Linked DNA regions of Saccharomyces cerevisiae S288C. Changing the gene in region 2 together with the main gene of any one other region gives a genetic interaction. Each region holds a gene or a part of one and is shown on either strand. Other genes may lie near its edges.

What was found.
Region 1: mutations in CNB1 (region 2) and KEX1 together harm fitness more than expected from each alone (negative genetic interaction), as found in Saccharomyces cerevisiae (3 studies listed by BioGRID).
Region 3: mutations in CNB1 (region 2) and ERD1 together harm fitness more than expected from each alone (negative genetic interaction), as found in Saccharomyces cerevisiae (3 studies listed by BioGRID).

What each region holds. Positions count from the first base shown.
Region 1 is NC_001139.9:111,601-116,479, forward strand, and holds KEX1 (serine-type carboxypeptidase), read right to left. Parts: upstream 3,065-4,879; coding exon 875-3,064; downstream 1-874. Other genes in the region: YGL204C (uncharacterized protein), read right to left, coding at 100-405; ARO8 (bifunctional 2-aminoadipate transaminase/aromatic-amino-acid:2-oxoglutarate transaminase), read left to right, coding at 4,459-4,879.
Region 2 is NC_001143.9:81,009-84,731, reverse strand, and holds CNB1 (calcineurin regulatory subunit B), read right to left. Parts: upstream 1,786-3,723; coding exon 1,734-1,785; intron 1,658-1,733; coding exon 1,182-1,657; downstream 1-1,181. Other genes in the region: HYM1 (Hym1p), read right to left, coding at 1-28; DPH2 (2-(3-amino-3-carboxypropyl)histidine synthase), read right to left, coding at 2,093-3,697.
Region 3 is NC_001136.10:1,294,724-1,298,653, forward strand, and holds ERD1 (Erd1p), read right to left. Parts: upstream 1,964-3,930; coding exon 875-1,963; downstream 1-874. Other genes in the region: rRNA-processing protein RRP17, read left to right, coding at 1-677; YDR415C (putative aminopeptidase), read right to left, coding at 2,314-3,438; mRNA splicing protein SYF1, read left to right, coding at 3,709-3,930. UniProt on the Saccharomyces cerevisiae protein: Required for the retention of luminal endoplasmic reticulum proteins, affects glycoprotein processing in the Golgi apparatus.

The DNA of each region.
Region 1 (4,879 bases), on a different chromosome or scaffold from region 2:
GCAGAAATACAAGGATTTATAATGTAATAGGGTAATGGAACATATAAGGGAGGAGAAATGATGGTGATATTAATATGCAGAAATATCGATTCCATTTTTTCAAAAAAATAGTGCCAAACTATTAAGAAGTAGCGAAACAGCAAAGGCATATTTCCACATTTCGCTTTTAGCAATATACATAACTATGGTGGCAAGATACCATGCAACTAATAACTTTGCCGCAATGACACCTCTATTTCTACTTGTTGTCGTTTTACCTCTTACTTGTTTGAACATTGCTGTTCTAAGACCTAACAATAATAGTCCTAATACAAACAGAGGGCATGCTGTTATAAGTATAAAATGTTTGCTGTAACTAATGGTGGGGGAAGATTGCAAAAAACGAAGGATATCAGTTCCATTCATTTCCAGGGATTTGTGTTGATATGTGGGGCTATGAATGCGTTGAAGTTTTCAACTTCTGTGAAGGAGTTAAAACAACCACTAAACAATCTCGTTCAAAAGCTCTAATTACTTGTATATTATTTTATACGTTTATGTCTATTTCAATGCAATTACGTGAAAAATAAAAGAACGCTACCATAAAAATGTTAAAAACTGGTTAAAAATGTCAAAAAATGGTCCGAAAACTGAAAAAATATTCGTGATACAGTTTGCATAAAAAAAAACTATTGTGCGCGATTAATATAACCTACTAGACTTAAATGACGACACTTTAATATGAAGTTCAGTAGTGTGAATTAAATAAAACAGTCAGTTCTTGATGGATTGTACCCTTTAAAGAATTTATCTTTATGTCGCTGTTACTACGAAAAGCGTGTGCGAGGTATTATAACTATTTTTCTGTATTTTTTATATATTTTTATTTGCCAAGTTAAAAATCAGTCATCTCAAAAGATTCATCGATTTCAGTGTTCGGAAGGCTAGTATACTTCTTCTTTTTCTTAGTTTTCAATTTAGATCCTGCTTTGTTAGAAGTGCTACTTATGGGTGCTCCGCCTTCTAACTGCTCATCTTGTTCTAAATCATCTTCTGCCCCGAGTCCGCTTTCCAGATCATCTGCCCATGAAACTGTCTTATTGGGACTGTCATGTTGTCTATTATTTGGATCAACTAAAATTGTGTGACGCGCTTTTCTCCTCACTCTTCTATCATACGCATAAACTCCTAAAACCACTATCAAAAATGTAACGATGGTAACTACTACCGCTTTGTGTTTATACATTGAAATCTCTTCTGCAAATTCTTCTACCTCTTCCTCTTCTTGTTCATATTCTGAAGATTTATGTCTACTATCCTCGAGGCCTTGATTACTTTGTTTTTCATTATTATCGTCTTCATCATCGTCATCGTCATCATCGTCGTCGCCCTCGGAGTTGTGATCGTCTTCATCGTCGTCATCATTGTCGTTATCATCATCGCCATCTTTATCTTTATTGCCTTCTTTTTCCTTTCCTTCCTCATTCTGCGCTTCCTGTTCTTCCTCTTCGAGGTTTTCTTTTGGCTTATCACCGCTTTCAGTAGTAGCATCTTGATCACTATCGTCGTCAGTAGTAATCATAACATTTTTCCCATTGTTGTCAATGATCATAACATCGTTCGAGTAAATATCGACAATGCCTCTACTCACTAAACTTTTATCGAAGGGTACCATGTGAGAAGCATTATAAACGCTAACAAACGTCAAATTTCTATCATACTTCACGTATCCGCTAAATTCTTCGCTGTCGTCTGTACTCTTCGATTTATGGATCCAATCGAACGAAACAGCATCGTCGCTAAATCCCTTTATTCCACCCCATTTTAGATTGTCTATAGTATCTAATACGCCCTTGTTATTACAAATCAAGTCTTTGTCACCATTGAACAAGACAATCTCTATTCCACTTTCAAGTAGACCAGGTAATAAATGGATAGATGGCTTTGAAATAGGATTAGACAATTTAGTTCCAACGCTATTAGTGCATTCCTTCCAATGATCAATTTTATCAGAATCAAGATGCAACGAATCAATAACACCAGGTGTGCTGAAGAATTTACTGACAAAGGAAATATCTTTCGGCCAATTCATACCACAAGATGGATAACTATCTTTTAAATTGAAGTTATACATGTTCAAGCAATCCGCTGTTCCCTTTTGCGAAGATTCCCTGGTATAAGACAATAGAAGGTTTAAAATATTCTCACATTCCTGATACGAAAAATGGGCTGCCTCATCTGTACTGGCAGAGTTTATCAGATTCTGGCAATTCTCGTGTGCGTTCGTTAAGTGTTTGAAATTGGGGTTGCTTTCATCAATCAGTTTCTTCTCCATAGCAAACGGAAGGTACGATAGGGACTGTGTATTGGGGTCAATCCAACCGTTACCAATCAATAGCGCCTTCAAGTCGTATGTATCCCCGTCGATCTTTGAAAATTTGTTATGGTTCAAAATTGCATTGGCAAAGAATGGTATGTATTGGCCAGCGTAACTTTCACCCGATAGTATGATTTTCCTAGTGAGGTCTTCTGGAAAAATCTTGAAATAGTTCTCCAGAAAATCCATAAAATGCTTGGTCACATCTTCTAGGTCTTCGTCAAATTTGTTTTTGTCGATTTTACCTTCGTCTTTATTTTGTTCGACAGAAAACCCAGTACCAGTAGGTTGGTCGATAAATAAAAGATCGCCTTTGGATATCCAGGACCCTTCATTTAGATAAAGTTTACCGTCTGAATTCACCCTAAAAGGGCCGGATTCGACCAAGGCACCATCCATGGAAGAGCAACCGGGTCCACCATTTAACCATATAATTAAGGGACGGTCGACATTGCCATTAGAGTCGTTATTGGTAAACTTCCAAAAAAAGTACTCCAAGTCAGAGCTATCCTGTTCATCCGCATCTTCGGAACGTAAAGGAATATGGCCAGCATGCATCTGTGGAATATTTGAAGGGTCTGGCACTTCAGATAACCCTGGCAACAGCTCATATGCCACTTTGTACTCCTCAGATGACGGAAGGGATACTGAGATCCTTATTAAAGCAGACATGGCTAGCCACGTTCCGAGCCACCTATTGTAAAACATCTATTCAGGTCTTTATCTCTACGGTATTCTATAGCCAAGGTACTCTTTAACCAAAGTATGCTTCAGCAAGCTTTTTCAAATAGATGGGAGTTGAAGACAATGATAAGAAATCGCTTTTCTTAATGTTTCCTATATTATCAAAATATTCCACTTTTTTTTCTTTTTCCACATTGTTTTTCGGTTCCGGGCTGCAGTAAGCAAATATAAATGTTGGTGACAAAACTTGAAAGTTATAGCCAAAAAGCTCGCAATTCCTCACCTAACAAAATGATCCTGTTGGAATAAAAATCAACTATCGTCTATAAACTAGTAGTCACACTACCAGTATATTATCATATACGGTGTTAGACGATGACATAAGGTATGAGAAACTGTCATCGAAGTTAGAGGAAGCTGAAGTGCAAGGATTGATAATGTAATAGGATAATGAAACATATAAAACGGAATGAGGAATAATCGTAATAATATTATGTAGAAATATCGCTTCCCCTTTGAGGATTCCTCTACCCTCGAGGAGAACTTTTAGTATATTCTGTATACATAATATTGTAGCCTTGATCAACAATGAAATGCCTACAATCATCTTAAAATTCACCAATCTCTCAGCTCTTATTTAAGCTTTGTTGAGACGAGAGTTAGTTATCCGACAATACTATACAAGACATTAACATCATTTTTCGTGCTGTTAGGGTGGTGTCTTTTCATTTGTTGCAATAAATGATAAGTAGTTTACCGTCCATTAACATGTGCATTAAATAATAGCATTATGTGAACATAATGTATATTTAACTAAAACTATTATCGAAGAAATCCGAAGAACTCATCCTTGTTAGCTCAGTTGGTAGAGCGTTCGGCTTTTAAGCGCATTTGCTTAAGCAAGGATACCGAAATGTCAGGGGTTCGAGCCCCCTATGAGGAGTTCTTCTTTATTTTTTTCCCGGTTCACTATTTTTCCAAGATTAAACATGGCTCATATACACCATCCAAAAATCTCTTAATTAACCTATAACCATTGTTCTCCTTCACCTCATTCAAGAATCTGGCTTCTGAATTGCCATTGATAGAAGAACAGTACTAAATTGCGCCGGAATAATGAAGAACATCCGGGTTACCTTAGATGTCTTTTTTTCCTTTTTTTATCACATTTTTCACTCTGCACTTTTTCACTTTCTCGAGGTCCAATCTATGACTAATATTAAGCGCATTTCATTTGAAGATATGTGTATCGCAATCTTTTTTCTTATCTTGTAGACCCTCCTATACACATCTCTAGACTATATATTTGGTTTGGTTATATCTTTAAGAACTTATTTCTTTTTCTTATTTTTCCATTCCACTAAGTTAAACCCTGCAGTTGATACAGACATTGAATAGGACAACCGATCGTTACTATCATGACTTTACCTGAATCAAAAGACTTTTCTTACTTGTTTTCGGATGAAACCAATGCTCGTAAACCATCCCCATTGAAAACCTGCATCCATCTTTTCCAAGATCCTAACATTATCTTTTTGGGTGGTGGCCTGCCATTAAAAGATTATTTCCCATGGGATAATCTATCTGTAGATTCACCCAAGCCTCCTTTTCCCCAGGGTATTGGAGCTCCAATTGACGAGCAGAATTGCATAAAATACACCGTCAACAAAGATTACGCTGATAAAAGTGCCAATCCTTCCAACGATATTCCTTTGTCAAGAGCTTTGCAATACGGGTTCAGTGCTGGTCAACCTGAACTATTAAACTTCATTAGAGATCATACCAAGATTATCCACGATTTGAAGTATAAGGACTGGGACGTTTTAGCCACTGCAGGTA
Region 2 (3,723 bases):
AGTCTTGATTTTTGTATTTCTTAAACATTTGTCTTCGATTTGCGGATAATTTATACTGGGGATTACGTGCAATAAGCCTCTTACGGATAACACGTATTCTTTGGCTTAACTACTCCGAGATTAAATCGTATTGTTAAAACAAGAAGCTATCAACGCCTGTAAATATTGTGTCAGTGCCACTTTTGAAACAATTCTGAGACCACTTTTTATTTTTATTTTTCCAAGAGTGCAATCAGCGGGTTTCCTCCTTATTTGCGTTTGGAGCAATCTTCCCTTTTTCGAACACAAAATCCAAAATTTGGAGCAATTGGCTCTTCAAAATCAACGGTACATGCTCCTTATATTGGTAATAAATAATTCATATCCAGCCTCCTCTTATGGCTGCATAATGGAAAGGATCAACGCTTGCAACACAAAAATAAATTAAAAAAAAAAATTACTGAAGGATGCGAGGTTCGAACTCGCGCGGACAACCGTCCAACAGATCTTAAGTCTGCCGCCTTAGACCACTCGGCCAACCCTCCATACAAATTTTACTTACTGGAAACTCCCGAAGTGTTGTCAACACGTTTTAGGATATGAACTTATCCAATAAACCAATATCACAGTTTAACTTTATTGGAATAGGAATCAAAGATGGTCTGTCTCCTAGCATTAGTATTGCTGGTAATTATCATATACGGTGTAAGAAGATAGTATGATGATTGAGAGATAGTCATCGGGTTTAACGGAAGCTGATATGTAAGGATTGATAATGCAGTGGGATAGTGAATAACAACACATAAAACAAAGAAGAAGTAATAATCTTAATTTATATAACTATTGATCCCCCTTTGTGCATTGCCATATTTTTGAGGAAAATCTCTGGTATTCTGTATGTCTGATATCAAAGCTATTAATAACAATGGAATCCCAAAAATTATCAAAGTACACCCCGCAGTTATTACATGAGATCAGCTTCCATCTTGGTATATCTCGTCGCTGACATATATGCTCTCTCTCATCTCTATGTTGTATCATTGCTTTCTTATTGTTTGTTACATATACATATATATATGTATATATCATCAGCACTCTAACTGGGCGAGTGTGCGTTCCTTCCTTAAAAAACAATATCGCGTATTATTCTTCTTTTCTTAAAAATATTGGCATACCATAAATGAATGAAGTGTCCCCTAGTCTTACACATCGTATTGCAATGTCAGACTCTTGGCCACTTCTGTGGTTTCGATAGCATTCTTAAACTCCTCGAAACTTAAACGTCCGTCGCCGTCGCTATCGTTTTCCACTATCGTCCTATCTACTATCTGTTGCAGCTGTTCATCGTCCAGATTAGAACCTACCATAATCTTCAACACGATGAACAACTCACCATTGGATATGAAACCGTCCTTGTCAATGTCGTAGATTTTGAAGGCGAATCTTAACTTTTCGTCCTTGGACCCACGCCCACTGAAAATGGATAATCCTGTGATGAACTCTTGAAAATCCACGTCCCCACTATTATCAGCATCGAAAACCTCCATTATACGTCCAGCAAGAGGGTTTGACGAAACGCCAGGAATGCTCATAAATTCATTTTTATCAATAGACCCTGAGCTATCTCTATCTAATTTCATGAATCTCTTCCTTAACCTTTCAATTTCATCTCTATCAACTGTTCAAAGTGTCAGTGTTAGTAAAATCGGTTAATTTCCCCTTTCTTTCTTTTCCTCACTCCGAAGTGTACATACAATTTGTATCTTCTAAAAGACCATCCACAATTTTGGAAGGAGCAGCACCCATTTTAAGAAATAAAAATGCTTCTATGGATTCTGATCACCATTGAGTTACCAAGTTTTAGCTACTAGATGTTCCGTGTAAACCACACCAGCACAAAGCACCTTTATTGCATTCCGCTAAAAAAGAAACTAGTGATTTTTAAGATGATACCCGGCCTTCCACGCGGTCACTTCGCACGGAATGTATATCCCATTTTGGCGGCTAATTTCCAAGGCTTCCATATAAAGAGTTAATTGTTTTATTATTAAATAGTTTATTAGTTAAAATCTTGGATTTAAATAGAGAAGTCGAGGGAAACAAATTATAAGAGTCATTTGTTTTCCTTTTTCATAGCGTCTTCGCGATCAAATCCATAACCACGTGCGACACCGGAAATACCTTCTTCGATATCCGCTCCAGTATTATCAACCTCAGTAGAGTCGAAATCGCTTCCTAGACCTTTCCACGAACGATTCTGCAGTGCTGATGCTGAAGTGGATACAGTACCTTTAATGACGGCACCTGAGGCGGTATGTCTTGTAGTCAGTTGTTTGGAATCGTCGTCGTCGGCCGCCTCTAACTCCAGGTGCGTTAGCGCTCGCAGTGGTCTTGATGTGCTAGTATATCTTCCCCTAACTACATCAAACTCCGGTTCATCGGAAGTTGTGCTGGCAGAGATGGTATCTTGTCCGCCCAAATTCTGCTCGATTTCATCAATGGCGTCTCTGAAGTCCACAACCCATTTCCCGGTCCATGTGACCTCTTCGCTCAAGGCCAAGTTTAATTCATAAGGTGTAATAATGGGCTTGTAAAACTCGTTGAATTGATCAACGATGATACCGCTTTGGCTACAACCGAGAATGCACCAAATATCAATATCTTCAAAGTTTGCTAGCTTGGCCACATTTGGCTTTCCGACAACAAATAAATAGTGTTTTTTCTCACGAGTTTTGATAAGCTTGACCAGCTCGTTGATAGTTTCTCTTGTATTACGTAGCGACAGCGTGTTGACCAGAATACCTATACATCCCGCTGTTCTTGCCACATGCATGTACTTGTAACGCCTCATTAGAGAGGGAAATGGCCCCGTTACCATGCCAGGTAAAGCCGGATCGAAAATATGAACAGATTGAAACACAGTAGACAAATACAGTAATCTCGGATCCTGTGGGGTGGTCAAATGGAAAAGATGATAGTCCTCGGGCGAGATGTTGTCTGCTTTGTCGTGCTGACCAAACAGCACGCTATTTTTTTCGAACACACCCACCTGGTCTACGTCTTCGGGAACGTGAAAGGTGTCAAGTATGGTTACGAATTTTTCTTCTACCGCAGAGGTGTTCACTTGGGAATATATGATATTTGTGTAGTGCAGGTCGCCCTTCAAAATATTGTACAGCTGTGACAAATGCTTAGAGAAGGGTGCGTTTGCCATCAAACAAATTTTGGAGGATAAGTCTGGGAATGCCCTCTGAAAGTTCTCCACCACCAGTGCCAAATCCAAAAATGGAGTTCCGAATGAGTAAACCACGGGCAAGTTTTGGATGGCGTTCAAACATGCGTCACCAAAATGTACCACGACTTCTGCATGTACGTGTTCAGCAGCGACCTCGTCTACACAGCATGCACTGTACGCTGTGTCAGCTAAAACCCAAAACTTTATCTTCCCATGGGGAAATTTCGATTGCAGCAGCCTTACTATCAACGAGGAGTCCTTGATTAAATCGTCAGGAAACTGCAAGGTCACGTTTTGGTACTCCGGGTGCTGTTCCAGATAACCCACGAGAGGCTCGACATTGTAATAAGCCGAGATAAGTTGCATAAGCTCATCGCTATTATAACATGGCCCCAAGTATGAAGACCTGTCAATTTCATGTGTCTCCACCTTCTGAAACGCCACGTCCGACTGAGTAGTCGATAAGGCCGGTGCAACTTCCATTTTTCAACCTTTGCACGATCTTTCAA
Region 3 (3,930 bases), on a different chromosome or scaffold from region 2:
CAAGAGGCAAAAACTATGCTACAAAGCAATCAAAGAAATTCGGTACCGATGAGGTGACGTTCGACAAGGATTCTCGTTTGGATTATCTGACTGGCTTTCACAAGAGAAAGCTTCAAAGACAAAAGAAAGCACAAGAGTTTATTAAGGAGCAGGAAAGGCTTAGAAAAATTGAAGAAAGACAGAAGATTCGGCAGGAACGTAAGGAGGTGATGGAAGAACAGTTAAAGACGTTTAAAGAGAGTTTAAACTTGGAAGCTGAGATAGAGGATGCGAAAAATGATAAGACGGAGGATTTGCAGGTAGAATCTGATGAATCCTGGCACGGGTTTGATTCTGATAAAGATGACGGCGATAACGACAATAATGAAAGTAGCGTAAAGCCTATTTTGAAGAAAGGAGCAATCACGGAAATATACGATGACTCAACTACTGTTGAATTGGAGACATTGGAACCCAATGATAACTTTGAATATTTAGCCCAGCTAAATAATGTCAAATTAGAAAAGGCAGAAAAAGTACTCAAACAAAGCATAAATAGAGCCACCAAATACGCGAAGTTTCTGGGCGTGGATGAGAAACAAAAGAAGAAGCCAAGAGTAAAAAAGTTCAGATATTTGACCAAAAATGAACGAAGAATAAACCAAAGAAAGGCAAACGACAACAAGCGTAGGAGATAATGCAGTCGCATTATCGTCGGGCACCGCCTGGGGTTTCTTGACGCTCAAACAGTGTTTGATTTTTTTTTGGAAAAGTATATACTGTGCATATGTATTTTTCGTTTATTATATGTAATATATCGAATAAACCATTCTACGGGGAAAATAGAACAAATATTTACAGCATTTGCATGATTTTATATGGCTTGCCCAACAAATTATTTGCTTGCAAACTTAATATAATACTCTGCGTCCAATTTGAAAACGACCCATATGCCTCTTCTAATTACTTCGAAATACTGCATTTCGCCTTGGAAAAAAATGTAGTCGCTATCTGCGGCAACTAATTTCAGATTCTGCGATAAATATACCCATAGCCACCAGAACCTCAGCAAAAAGTCAACGAGAATCGCCGAATGATACATTTTTTTCTTTAATGTGACGGCACTTTTGGATCTGGATCTTAAAGAGGTTAACGAGTCCAATGACCAATCCATCCTTACATCCCAAAATAACGTATAGGAAGAATTAATTAGCATAAACCATCTTTGAACGTGGTGTAGTCTTTCTTCGTTGATGGATCCCTCATACACTCTTGATCTCCAGGTGCAAAAAAGAATGGGAAGATTACAACTGTATTTCAATGCATTGAATAGTAAAGTTGCTTCGTGCAGTAAACGGTATTCTCTCAAACACTGCAGTAGTCTTACCAGTACAGGAAGAAGGGCTACGGATAGATCAAAATGTGTGAAGGGTTCTCTAAAAATTAGAGAGGTAAACAATGTGAAGTCTATCAATGGTTTTGCAAACGATGTCAACGTGTCAGAGATTAAAATGTAGGTATTCCTTAAGGAACGGGGGGAGGATTCTATCAACAAACATCTCCTAGTACAATATTTTATTATCTGGCACTCTTTCAACAGAAACCAAAATATAGTGACACATTGGATCAATGGTAGAAAATATACGATGAGAATGATATTTTTGAGTGGACCTTCTATAATATTCATGAACTCAAAAAGGAACACAGTGGCAAAGTGGAACGGTATAATAATCCTTGTTATCTTCAAAGCAAAATTTCTAGCTGTTCTATGCAATTGCTGTAGAGTATAACCTGGACGTATATCGTGCGGTACTCTCGTGAGTATGACTTGGGATACGTCTAAATTACTATGCAAGAAGAATTTTAATATCCATGTCCAGATCCAAAGGGCAAGTATTATGAGCACAATAAATCGCTGCGGAGGGGGAACATTTAATATATTTTGGAGATAAAGTCCTTCAGAATTACTTTCGCTTTTCTCCATATTTTGCGGCCCAACTTGTTGCAGAATTGAAAACTTTGTATAATACTAATAATAATTTATAATAATAACAATAATAATTTATAACAATAATAACAATGCCAAACAATTTATATGGGTAACCAGTTTTTGGTACTGTTTGCCATCAATATTGCGACTAAATCGGGAGCGGTTAGCGCTGGCTTGCACTTTTTGCAACTGACTCTATTTCTTTCATTGATTATGTTATTTTCAGATGACGAAATACGCCAAAAAAATTCGGGAAATAAATACTAGCGTGATATCGGTTTAGGTATATTACAAAAGAACACCAAGGTAAGGCATCATTAGTTATGTATGCATATTACTGACTTTTACCAAGCGGACCATGACCCGAGTTCAATGATTACCCCTAATACAATTTTTGTGTGTTCCGCCATATGAGCGAGACTTAATCTGTCCAAAGTATCCATGGTGCTGTGAATATACTTGTTAGTCTTTTTGAACTCACTTTCAATCACGAAGGAGCCTGGAAATCCGTTTCTGGTGGCACTCCCATGATCGCTACAAGCATAGCCACATTGTGTATCCCTGTAAGGAATGGATAGATAAGAGTTGATAATTAGTTTTATAAAATCAGTTAATGCGGGAGTAGTGTAGTCGGTGACAATCCCCACATGTTCATCTTCTGGATCAGAAACATATCCCGTCATGTCTTGCTGAAGCATCGCTCTCACATGCTTTTTCTGTTTGGCATAAGCTGTAAAAACATCAAGAGAACCCAACAATCCCCCCTCTTCGGCGGAATAAAAGTGAAATTCCACAGTGTTGTTAGGTCTAAATCCTCTCTTCAAAAAATTTTCCGTATATAATCTGAGAGCCTCCATATTAGTCACCGTGCCTGACCCATTGTCGTCCGCACCTGGAGCTGCCATTATGGATGGCAGTAGCAGATTGATAGAATCTTGATGAGAACCAATTATTATAATATCTTCTGGCGTAGTAGATCCCGTGACACGGACTATAATTGAATATTGCTTCCATTCTTTGTGATCAAAATGTTCAATAGTCAACGTATCTTGCGGAATATCTTTTGTAATATTAGCGATAGTTGCAGCTAACCACTCGGCAGATTCAAAGCCGTGATCGGACTTGTAGTAACGGGTGTAAAAACTTGTAAACTTTGCCAAGTTCTTGTGCATAGAGCCCTTGTCTATATTCTTAATCGAATCATCCACTACTTCTTTGTTCGATATCTCAGGAGGATAGTTATACGTTGGTACTGTTGGCTCTTCCTCCTTGTTAAAGAAAGGTAAGAAAGAAGTGTGTTTGGTCACATCAAAGAATTTGACACCTCTTCTTCGTAAGTTTAGCTTTTCTGATTCGGGAACCTCCATTACCTCATTCTCTCCTACTTGTAAAACCCTTAAAGGCTCATATGGATATGACCATGCGATGATGGCAACATTAAATAAAACAAAAAGCGACTGTATCCTCATATTGTGCTAATCAGCGGTTGATTATGTTACTTACTTTTTCGAATAAAGATTTTGTATTTCTTTAGCTTCGAAGATTGATAATTATTGAATATCAAGTTTCAGTTTACTATAGCGGTCCGAACATATGAAAGATTTTAGTAAAGACGCTGGCAAGCTTTTCAGTCAAAATAATACAAAAGGAAATAGATAGAAAAAAAGGAAATAATCAGGCCTCCATATTGGACTCAACTATCCTTCAGTACCGCAAAACTTATTGTGTCCATATATCCTATGTCAGCATACATCGCAATGAAAGGAGTAATAACAAACGTCGATGAGAACATAAGAAATGATGAAGATGTGGCTTTTGAGTACGAAATACAAAAGACACCGCAGAACATACTTACATGGAAAAGATATATCGAGTATTGGAAAGAGGAGGGAAGAACTGACAAACAGATTAGGTGGCTATATGAAAGATTTTGTTCACAATTTGTAACAGATACAAGTATA